Linked DNA regions of Macaca fascicularis. The protein of the gene in region 1 purifies or fractionates together with the protein of each later gene. This does not show direct contact. Links are inferred from orthologs where the notes say so. Each region holds a gene or a part of one and is shown on either strand. Other genes may lie near its edges.

Region 1 (4,329 bases):
CTTTAGGCTGAGGTGGGCAGATCCCTGAAGCCCAGGAGTTCAAGACCAGCCTGGGCAGCACAGTGAAAACCCATCTCTACCAAAAATACAAAGAGTTTATCCAGGCTCGGTGGTGCACACCTGTAGTCCCAACTACTGGGGAGTCTGAGGTGGCAGAATCACCTGAGTCTGGGGAAGTGGAGCCTGCAGTGAGCTGTGATTGCACCACTGCACCCCCAGCCTGAGTGACACAGCGAGACCCTATCTCAAGGGAAAAAATAAAAATAAAAAAGAGGTATAGCTCACATTTATTTTAATGTTTAATATTAGAAGTGTTTTGAGTCTTTACTTCGAAGTTCGGTGATGTTTTTGTGACCAGAAAGAAAGCTCTAGGAAGCTTTCTTTTTTATGTCAGCCTATGGCAAATTTGGTTTTGTTATATGGTGTTTTGCTTAAGGTGACAGTTTCCAAGAACCTATTCAGTGAGGACTGGAGGCCTGTGTCAGAGTAAATACATAGCACAGAATGACGACTGCAGGGACGATATGGGGGCAGCAGGGTTTTAGACATACTTGGAATGGCAGCTTCCTGAGGTAGGCCAGGTATTCTCAGCATAATAAGGGCTACATTTAGGTGTATCTGGAGGAAGACGGTGAAGATTTCCATGGACGGTCAGTGCACTGGAAAACAGGCAGGGATGGCAAGGACCATAGTGATGGATCGGAAGAAGGTGCACTTTAGGGCATGATTCTCCTGGTTAAGCCAATGACTCTCAATGAGGGTCCCAGGGTCCTGCCCCGGGCACGGAGTGGGTTGGCAGTGACAGCCCAGCCTATTAGGTGGGAGTCTCCCTCTTGAATGATTCCAGGAGGCCCATATCGAGGGTCTGAAAGGCCAGACCGTTAATGGCACAAAGGTATTAAGTTCATTTCAGGGACTGACCCGGCAACGTGCCCCGGTCCTTCCCCTCGGTGCTGGGAAGCCCTAGTCTCCTGTAGCATTTCACACCTGGCTGGGTCTCCTGACTCGTGGCGTGGGTGAGCGCGTGAGCCTCCCTCCTTCAGCTGATCGACACCTGGGGGCTCCTCTGCCCAACCTCCTCACTCTGTCCACCCTGTCCTCTCCCTCCTCGGGGAGCGGCAGGGGACGCCCGGCCGGGGTCCCCAGGTTCCCCGCTCGTAACCCGCGGCCTCCTCCGCGGGCCGGGAGCGAACGCCCGGAGCTCGCCCGCGCACAGGCGGCGGTCCGGCTGCAGCGAAGCCGGGGCGGGAGGGCACAGCCTAACGGTCCAGCTGCCGCGCCCCGCGCCCCGCGCCCCGCACCCAGTGCCCCGCCCGCGGCGCCGCAGCCACCTCCCGCCCGCCCGCCCCCTGCGTCATGACGCCGGCGCCCAACGCGGAAGCCGCTCGCGGCGCGCCGGGTCCAGCCGCGGGCTGAGCGCGGAGCCGCGGCGGGCGCGGGATACGGGCCGGGGCGCGAGCCGAGCGCAGCCTGCCGGGCCGAGCGGGCGGAGCGAGCCGAGCGGGGCCGAGCGCGCCGGCAGCGGCGGCGGGCGGAGCGGAGCGCGGCGCGCCGGGGCCGCCGCCGGGGGGATGCGGCTGCCTCCCCGGGCCGGGGTGTAGAGAGGGCGGGTCCCCGGCCTCGGGAGCGCGGCGGTGGAGGGGACATAGGAGGCGGCCATGGCGACCCCTGGCAACCTAGGGTCCTCCGTCCTGGCGAGCAAGACCAAGACCAAGAAGAAGCACTTCGTAGCGCAGAAAGTGAAGCTGTTTCGGGCCAGCGACCCGCTGCTCAGCGTCCTGATGTGGGGAGTAAACCACTCGGTAAGGGCTCGGCTGCGGCGCGCGGTCCCCTTCCTCCTCCTCCTCCTCTTCCTCCTCGTTCCCCTCCTCCTCCGGCTGCAGCTGCTGCGGGGCGGGGAGCCGGAGCCAGCCCCGGCCCTCCGGCTGTTCGCCTGCCTCGGAGCCCCCAGCCCCGCGGCGTCTGCCCCCAGCCCTCCGGGCCGCCCAGGCACCACTTGCGTCCCCTTTAGATCTAGGGCCAGGTGCGGGACGGGGGTCCCGTGTGCACGTGGATCTCACGGTGGGTGCCAGTGCCCCCCACAGTCCGCCCGCCTGCGGGTCGGTCCCCGCTGCCTGGGAGGTGGGAAGTTTGTGCGGGGCATGGCGCCGCCTCGGCTGTCAGCCCGGGCGGGAGCTGCTGGGGGCCGGGTCCCGGCGACCGCTGCCCGGTGTGGGGGCGGCGCGGCGCCCGCGTCCTCCGCCGGCGGGCAGGTGTACCTGTCCCGGGCTGGGCGCGTGCGAACCTCCCACTGGGACACTGGGGCGAGGATACCGGAGCGCGAGCAGATTTGGGGCAGCAGCTTTAGTGCTTAGGTCCTTTCTTTTTCCTTTAAAGGCAATATTACTGGGCACAAGTCGGCCTTTTGGCAAAGCAGCAGCCGATGTAAATATGGCTCTGGCGTCGGGCGGCATCCCTGCGCTTCTCCCGCATCGCCCTGCCGCTGTGCGGGCTGGAGAGCCCTTGGCGGGGAGTCTTCCTCCCTTCGTCGCCTCCCCCCACTTTGAGGAGTCGGGCAGAAGTCGCCTACTGCAGAAGGGCGGCCGGGGCAGGGACAGCAGGCGGGGGTCCCGGAGGGCGCGGGCGGAGGGGGTCCCGAGTTGGGCGCAGCCGCTGTGGGGGGTGTGGGAAAGGCTAGAGAAGAACGCGTGGAAAGGTTAGCGTCACGCACAGTCGGGGTTGGAGGATGCGCCGCTGCGGGCTATGCGGACTGCGGTTTGAGGGTCTGAAATAGCCTCCTGCTGATCTGACAGCGAGAAACTCCTGCAGTTTTAATCCACTTAGATAGGATCAGGAAACATGATCGGAGCTGTTGGCTCAGCCAGGAAAGTTTAAATGAGCTGTGAATTTTGACCATGACCTTAGTCACTGCAGTCACTTAGCATCTGGGGAAAAGTGTAAGTCCGCTTTCCCTGCTTTTAATTTCGATGGATGTCTATATGTCCTTTTCAGCGTAGTGGAAATGACAGAAAACCATGCTGGCTTTTTGAAAAAAACACACTCTCAATGTAGTGAAGTTGTTTAAAATGCCTAAAAGCATCGTTTTTGTATTTTTCTTCCCCAAGCTGCGTAGGGGGAAGGGCGAAACAGTATCAGGATCGATCGTGTTTGCATGGTGTGAGTGTTTTTGAAGAAGTTGAGAAGTGATTATTTTTATCCAGCTTAATGACTGATTCACTGAAGTTCATTGTAACTTCCTGACAACTTCTTTAGCTATTTGGGACTGTAAGTTGTTACAAGAGCATGCATTACTGCACCAAAAACTCCTCTCTCAAGTTTTATTACAGAAAATGAAATGCAGTTTTTCCTAGGTAATACGTTTACAATGTAGAGTTACGTATAATTTTGTTAAGCTTTTTTATTCTTTACGTTATTAGTTTTTGGGTCCCTTATTACTAGAATAGAAACTTATAATTTAAAAAAGGACGAATACTGTAGTGCTTACTCATATCATATTACTCATGTGCCTTTATCTCCTTTGGAGTTCTGGTGTTTTGGTCAGGAGAATGTTTCTGTCTCGGGGTTTAATTTAGTAAGGTGGTGTCAACAATATGCTGCCGAAAGAGAGTGTGCTTTCTGGGAACTCGTCTGAATTCCAGTTTGCCTTTAAAAATATTGTACTTGTGTATGTTTTACTGTAAAAACTTATGTTGCTACCTTACATTTATGAATTGCTACATTTGTTTTAGAGTTTCTTGCTAATTGGAAATATTTAACTAAAGTGCTTCGTAGTGTATGACTTGTAAATAGTACATTTGGTGTTATTTTTCTTTTGCTCTCAAGAGAAGTTAGCGATTCTAAGTATCCACAACCAGAGGAGTGAAGTTTCCATTTCATATAAATGTAAGCATGTTACTCACTCAACAGATACATATTGGGCACATACAGTGTTAGCTACTATGGGAAGGATTGCTAAAACACCTCTAATATTTTTGTCCAAATATCTTTATTTTGAGGGCTCTGAGTTGACATAAGAAAGGTCTGTTTCACAGCCTTCTTTTTCAAAATGTGTATTTTCTTTAGTATATTATTTTTGAAAAAAGAATGGAGGTGTAATATAAACATGAAATCTAAGCACTTAGATGCTGTGTATTTCTGGTTTGATTTCATTTTAGGTGACAGTGTCTGATATTAGGTAAATGTGTTACTAAGGTTTTATATGACCTTCTGTGCACCAAAGTTTATAGTATAATGTGAGAATAAATAACGTCAGCAGTCTTAAGAACAAACAAGCATGGTGTTGTATATGAGCATCTTCCGCGTCCTGTGGTAAAACGTTCATTGGATCTG
Region 2 (3,807 bases), on another chromosome or scaffold:
GTAATTCCTATCCTCATTACCCAGAATAGTTGAAAAATTGGTTGTATTTACCTCCATTAGAAGTTGCAAGAATTGAATTAAATGTCAAGTCCTATAAAATTATGTTCAAGGCTGAGCACAGTGGTTCACACCTGTAATCCCAGCACTTTGGAAGGCCGAGGCTGGCAGATCACTTGAAGTCAGGAGTTCGAGACCATCCTGGCCAACATGGTGAAACCCCATCTCTACTAAAAATACAAAAATTAGCCAGGCGTGGTGGCAGGTGCCTGTAGTGCCAGCTACTTGGAAGGCTGAGGCAGGAGAATCTCTTGAACCTGGAGGCAGAGGTTGTAGTGAGCCGGGATTGCACCACTGCACTCTAGCCTGGGCAACAGAGCGAAAAAACAAAACCAAACCAAACAAAAAAAACTATCTTCAATTCTTTTAAGACCCAGCATTTGAATACCTTTCACAGTGGGGGGTTTTGTAAGCTGTAGAAAATGGCTATGTGAAATAGCCATAGAAATAGAGTGAAATAGAATTGGGAAAATTGTCTTTCAAAGTGAGTATCAGGTATATCTTTATCTCGTTCTTCAAATTAAAATTAAAAATTTTAATTGGTATTGAAATGAATGTGTAATACAGGTCACATGTACTAGAGCACACTTGTATGGAGAATCATCCCCATGTAGTTAAATATCTAAGAAGGTAAGCAGCTTGACTACTGAATGCAGGTGAATTTTAGGTGAACTTGTATTTCCTGTGCATGACATGTTTCTGTTTGGTTTTTCAGATCTTACCAATATATTTGAGTCCTTCCTGCCCCAGTTGTTGGCCTATCCTAACCCCATAGATCCTCTCAATGGTGACGCTGCAGCCATGTACCTCCACCGACCAGAAGAATACAAGCAGAAAATTAAAGGTAAGAGGGTGCATAGTTTACCTAGAGACAAAAGAACTTAAATCTGTTGGGCTTCAGTCATTAAAAGTCCTTCTTAAATTACTTAGTTCCTAATACTTTTTCTCGGGCCTAAAAAGAGACAGCTGTGGGCTGAAGTAGCACTCACCAACCTCGGGTGGTAGTAGCACCAGTTTGCTCATCCTTTAGGATTTAGAATCCTATTTTCCCATTCTTGAAACAGTTTACATGCTGATGGGATGTGAGTTTGATTTAAATGAAGATAAGTTTGCGAAAGAACATATAGCTGGCCATGGTGGCTCACACCTGTAATCCCAGCACTTTGGGAGGCTGAGGCGGGCGGATCACGAGGTCAGGAGGCCGAGACTAGCCTGGCCAACGTGGTGAAACCCCATCTCTACTAAAAGTACGAAAATTAGCCGGGTGTGGTGGCACGCGCCTGTAGTCCCAGCTACTCGGGAGGCTGAGGCAGGAGAATTGCTTGAACCGGAAAGCAGAGGTTGCAGTGAGCCTAGACTGTACCATTGTACTCCAGCCTGGGTGACAGCAAGATTCTGTCTTTAAAAAAGAAAAAAAAAAATCTAAAACTCCACCTGAATTCATTGGATTGTCCATTTTACCTCTGTTACTTTTCATAGTGAAGAGTCTAGATACATGAAGCTCCACCAAGAAGCAAAGGAATTCAAAGCGTATAATATACCTGCTGTTTTTAACCAATGGCAGGTATTAGTATCTAGCCCGTTTTTCACATGATGGGCCCGTCTGCATAGCAGTCCAGAATTCCTCAAAATGTGTGGCCTATCTGAGGTACATTTGCAAGAGGTGGCAGTAGAAGTAATTTACCAGAGCTTGAATGTGCAGGTCTTCACTCTGAAATGTGCAGGTATGAGGCAAACAGGGACTATTCATGAAACAATAGCTTTTCTTCTGTTTGTTTTCTAATTCTTCTTCCAAGGTCTCTATAGGGTATTGTTTGGAGCTTTTGTTGAGATAAAGCAGAAACAAATTTACTATAATTAGGTAGATCTCAAGTGCTTTGCAAATTAATATCTAATTTATGTAGCAAAATATATAGCTGAGCAAACATGTATTTGAAGAAAAAGGCAGTTTCAGCCAGATAAAGTGCTGTTATGAGACTGTATTAAAATTGCGAAATAGGAATCACTTAGCAATGTCTGCAAACCACAGATATCTTGGAGCAGAGTATATTTCTCTAGTTCACATATGCATTCCGTCTCAACAATTTAGCAGTAGCCCTGTTTCAGTACATATCTGCTATAGTCCCATTTACAAAAAGAACCCAGCCTGCATTTATCTTAGAATGGCTCACTCCAGGGTACGGACCCCCGGCCTTAGGAAATGTTCATGTTGGCTATCATTTTGTCTTTCTTAGAAATCTGAGAAAATCATGGCCATCAGACCTGAGCTCACCCCCAGTTCCTACTGTACCTTGATGTCTTCTCCCCTCCCCCTACATCTTTTCTTTGTTCCTGTGGGAAATAAGAGACACTCTTCCTCATTTCTCAAACTCACTCCCACCACCAACCTGTGATCTTGTTTCCCCAACCCCCCGCCCCTCCCAACGCAGTCTTCCTCCTGCACCTGCCAGAGGTCTCCCTGTTTCAGAAGCGGTGATCTGCTCCTGTGGGCTCCCTTAGGAGTCATGCTGTTTATTCCCTTTCATTTTCAAACTTGCATCCTCACCGTAAACTCCTCTAATTTTTTCCCCTCCTCTGCTTAATCTGTGCCCTCATTTCTTCCCAATCCTTTGGACTCTTCTCAGGTTCCATTTTGCTGGACCTCTCTGCAAGTGTTATATTCTACCCTAACCTTTCTGGAAAATTCTCATTCCGTTTCCTCAATGTGGTCATTCACTTAGGACTTGGTCCCTGGGCTCTGTCTCTTCCTCTCACCCCTGGGGACCTGCTTCACCTCTCACAGCTTAAGTCAGTCCCCTCCAGGGAGATGATTTCTCAATGTGTGTGTCTAGGCCTGGCCTCTCTCCCAAGCTGCTGCTGGACATTTCCATTTGTGTGGCAGTCACCACCAACTCAACACACCTAACACAGTCAGCGTTCATATTTAGTTGGCAGTGTCTTGTAGTGCATGTCTGAAAACGTGTTTAAATATTGGATAGCCCATAGCACTGGGCACCATTGGAGCTGTCTAAAGCTGTCACTTCCCTGCTCAGAACCCTTTGCTGGGTGACATCTTTGCCTGCCATTCAGGGCTCTCTGATACTGAGTGGAATCTACCTCTTTGCCTTTACTCCTTTTTTTTTTTTTTTTTTTTTTTGAGAAAAGGTCTCAAATATAGCTCTCCCTCTCTCTTTTTTTTTCGAGATGGAATCTTGCCCTGTTGCCTAGGCTGGAGTGCAATGGTGCGATCTCAGCCCACTGTAGCCTCTGCATCCCGGGTTCAAGTGATTCTCCTTCTTCAGCCTCCCGAGTAGCTGGGATTACAGGCGTGTGCCACTACGTCCGGCTAGTTTTTTGTATTTTTGTAGAGATGGGGCTTCACCATGTTGGCCAGGCTGGTCTCGAACTCCTAACCTCAGGTGATATACCCACCCTCCCAAAGTGCTGGGTTTACAGGCTTGAGCCGCTGCACCTGGCCATAGTTCTCTCTTAAGGTTGTGTTTAAGCATCCCAGCCACTTACTTTCAGCAAAGCAAAGCCTTTCCCTGGAGTGACCTCTGCTATGTCGTAGCTGGCAGGACTTGGAGGTCAGTGTGGCTGGGACTGCCTCAGCCGTTTTTCTTCTGTAACTGCTTCCCTCTGGTGACACCTAGCAGCTCCTTCCTTTTATCTTCCTCTGTTTCCTCCTCCTCATTGGTGACCTCACTTTTCCTTTCCCTATCCCAAAGGCCTTGTCCTAAGTACTTAATATACATTTGTTTCCTTGAATAT

The links.
Region 2: the proteins of PIP4K2A (region 1) and UBE2H purify together in Homo sapiens (affinity purification with mass spectrometry; 3 studies listed by BioGRID and IntAct, with this or other methods). This does not show direct contact. The link is inferred for Macaca fascicularis from reciprocal best matches to the Homo sapiens genes PIP4K2A and UBE2H.

Annotation. Positions count from the first base shown.
Region 1 is NC_088383.1:23,508,567-23,512,895, reverse strand, and holds the start of PIP4K2A (phosphatidylinositol 5-phosphate 4-kinase type-2 alpha), read left to right. Parts: upstream 1-1,376; 5' UTR 1,377-1,658; coding exon 1,659-1,802; intron 1,803-1,868; exon of another isoform or gene 1,869-2,061; intron 2,062-2,704; exon of another isoform or gene 2,705-2,936; intron 2,937-4,329. UniProt on the Homo sapiens protein: Catalyzes the phosphorylation of phosphatidylinositol 5-phosphate (PtdIns5P) on the fourth hydroxyl of the myo-inositol ring, to form phosphatidylinositol 4,5-bisphosphate (PtdIns(4,5)P2). Has both ATP- and GTP-dependent kinase activities.
Region 2 is NC_088377.1:171,337,316-171,341,122, reverse strand, and holds part of UBE2H (ubiquitin-conjugating enzyme E2 H), read left to right. Parts: intron 1-772; coding exon 773-901; intron 902-3,807. UniProt on the Homo sapiens protein: Accepts ubiquitin from the E1 complex and catalyzes its covalent attachment to other proteins. E2 ubiquitin conjugating enzyme that transfers ubiquitin to MAEA, a core component of the CTLH E3 ubiquitin-protein ligase complex.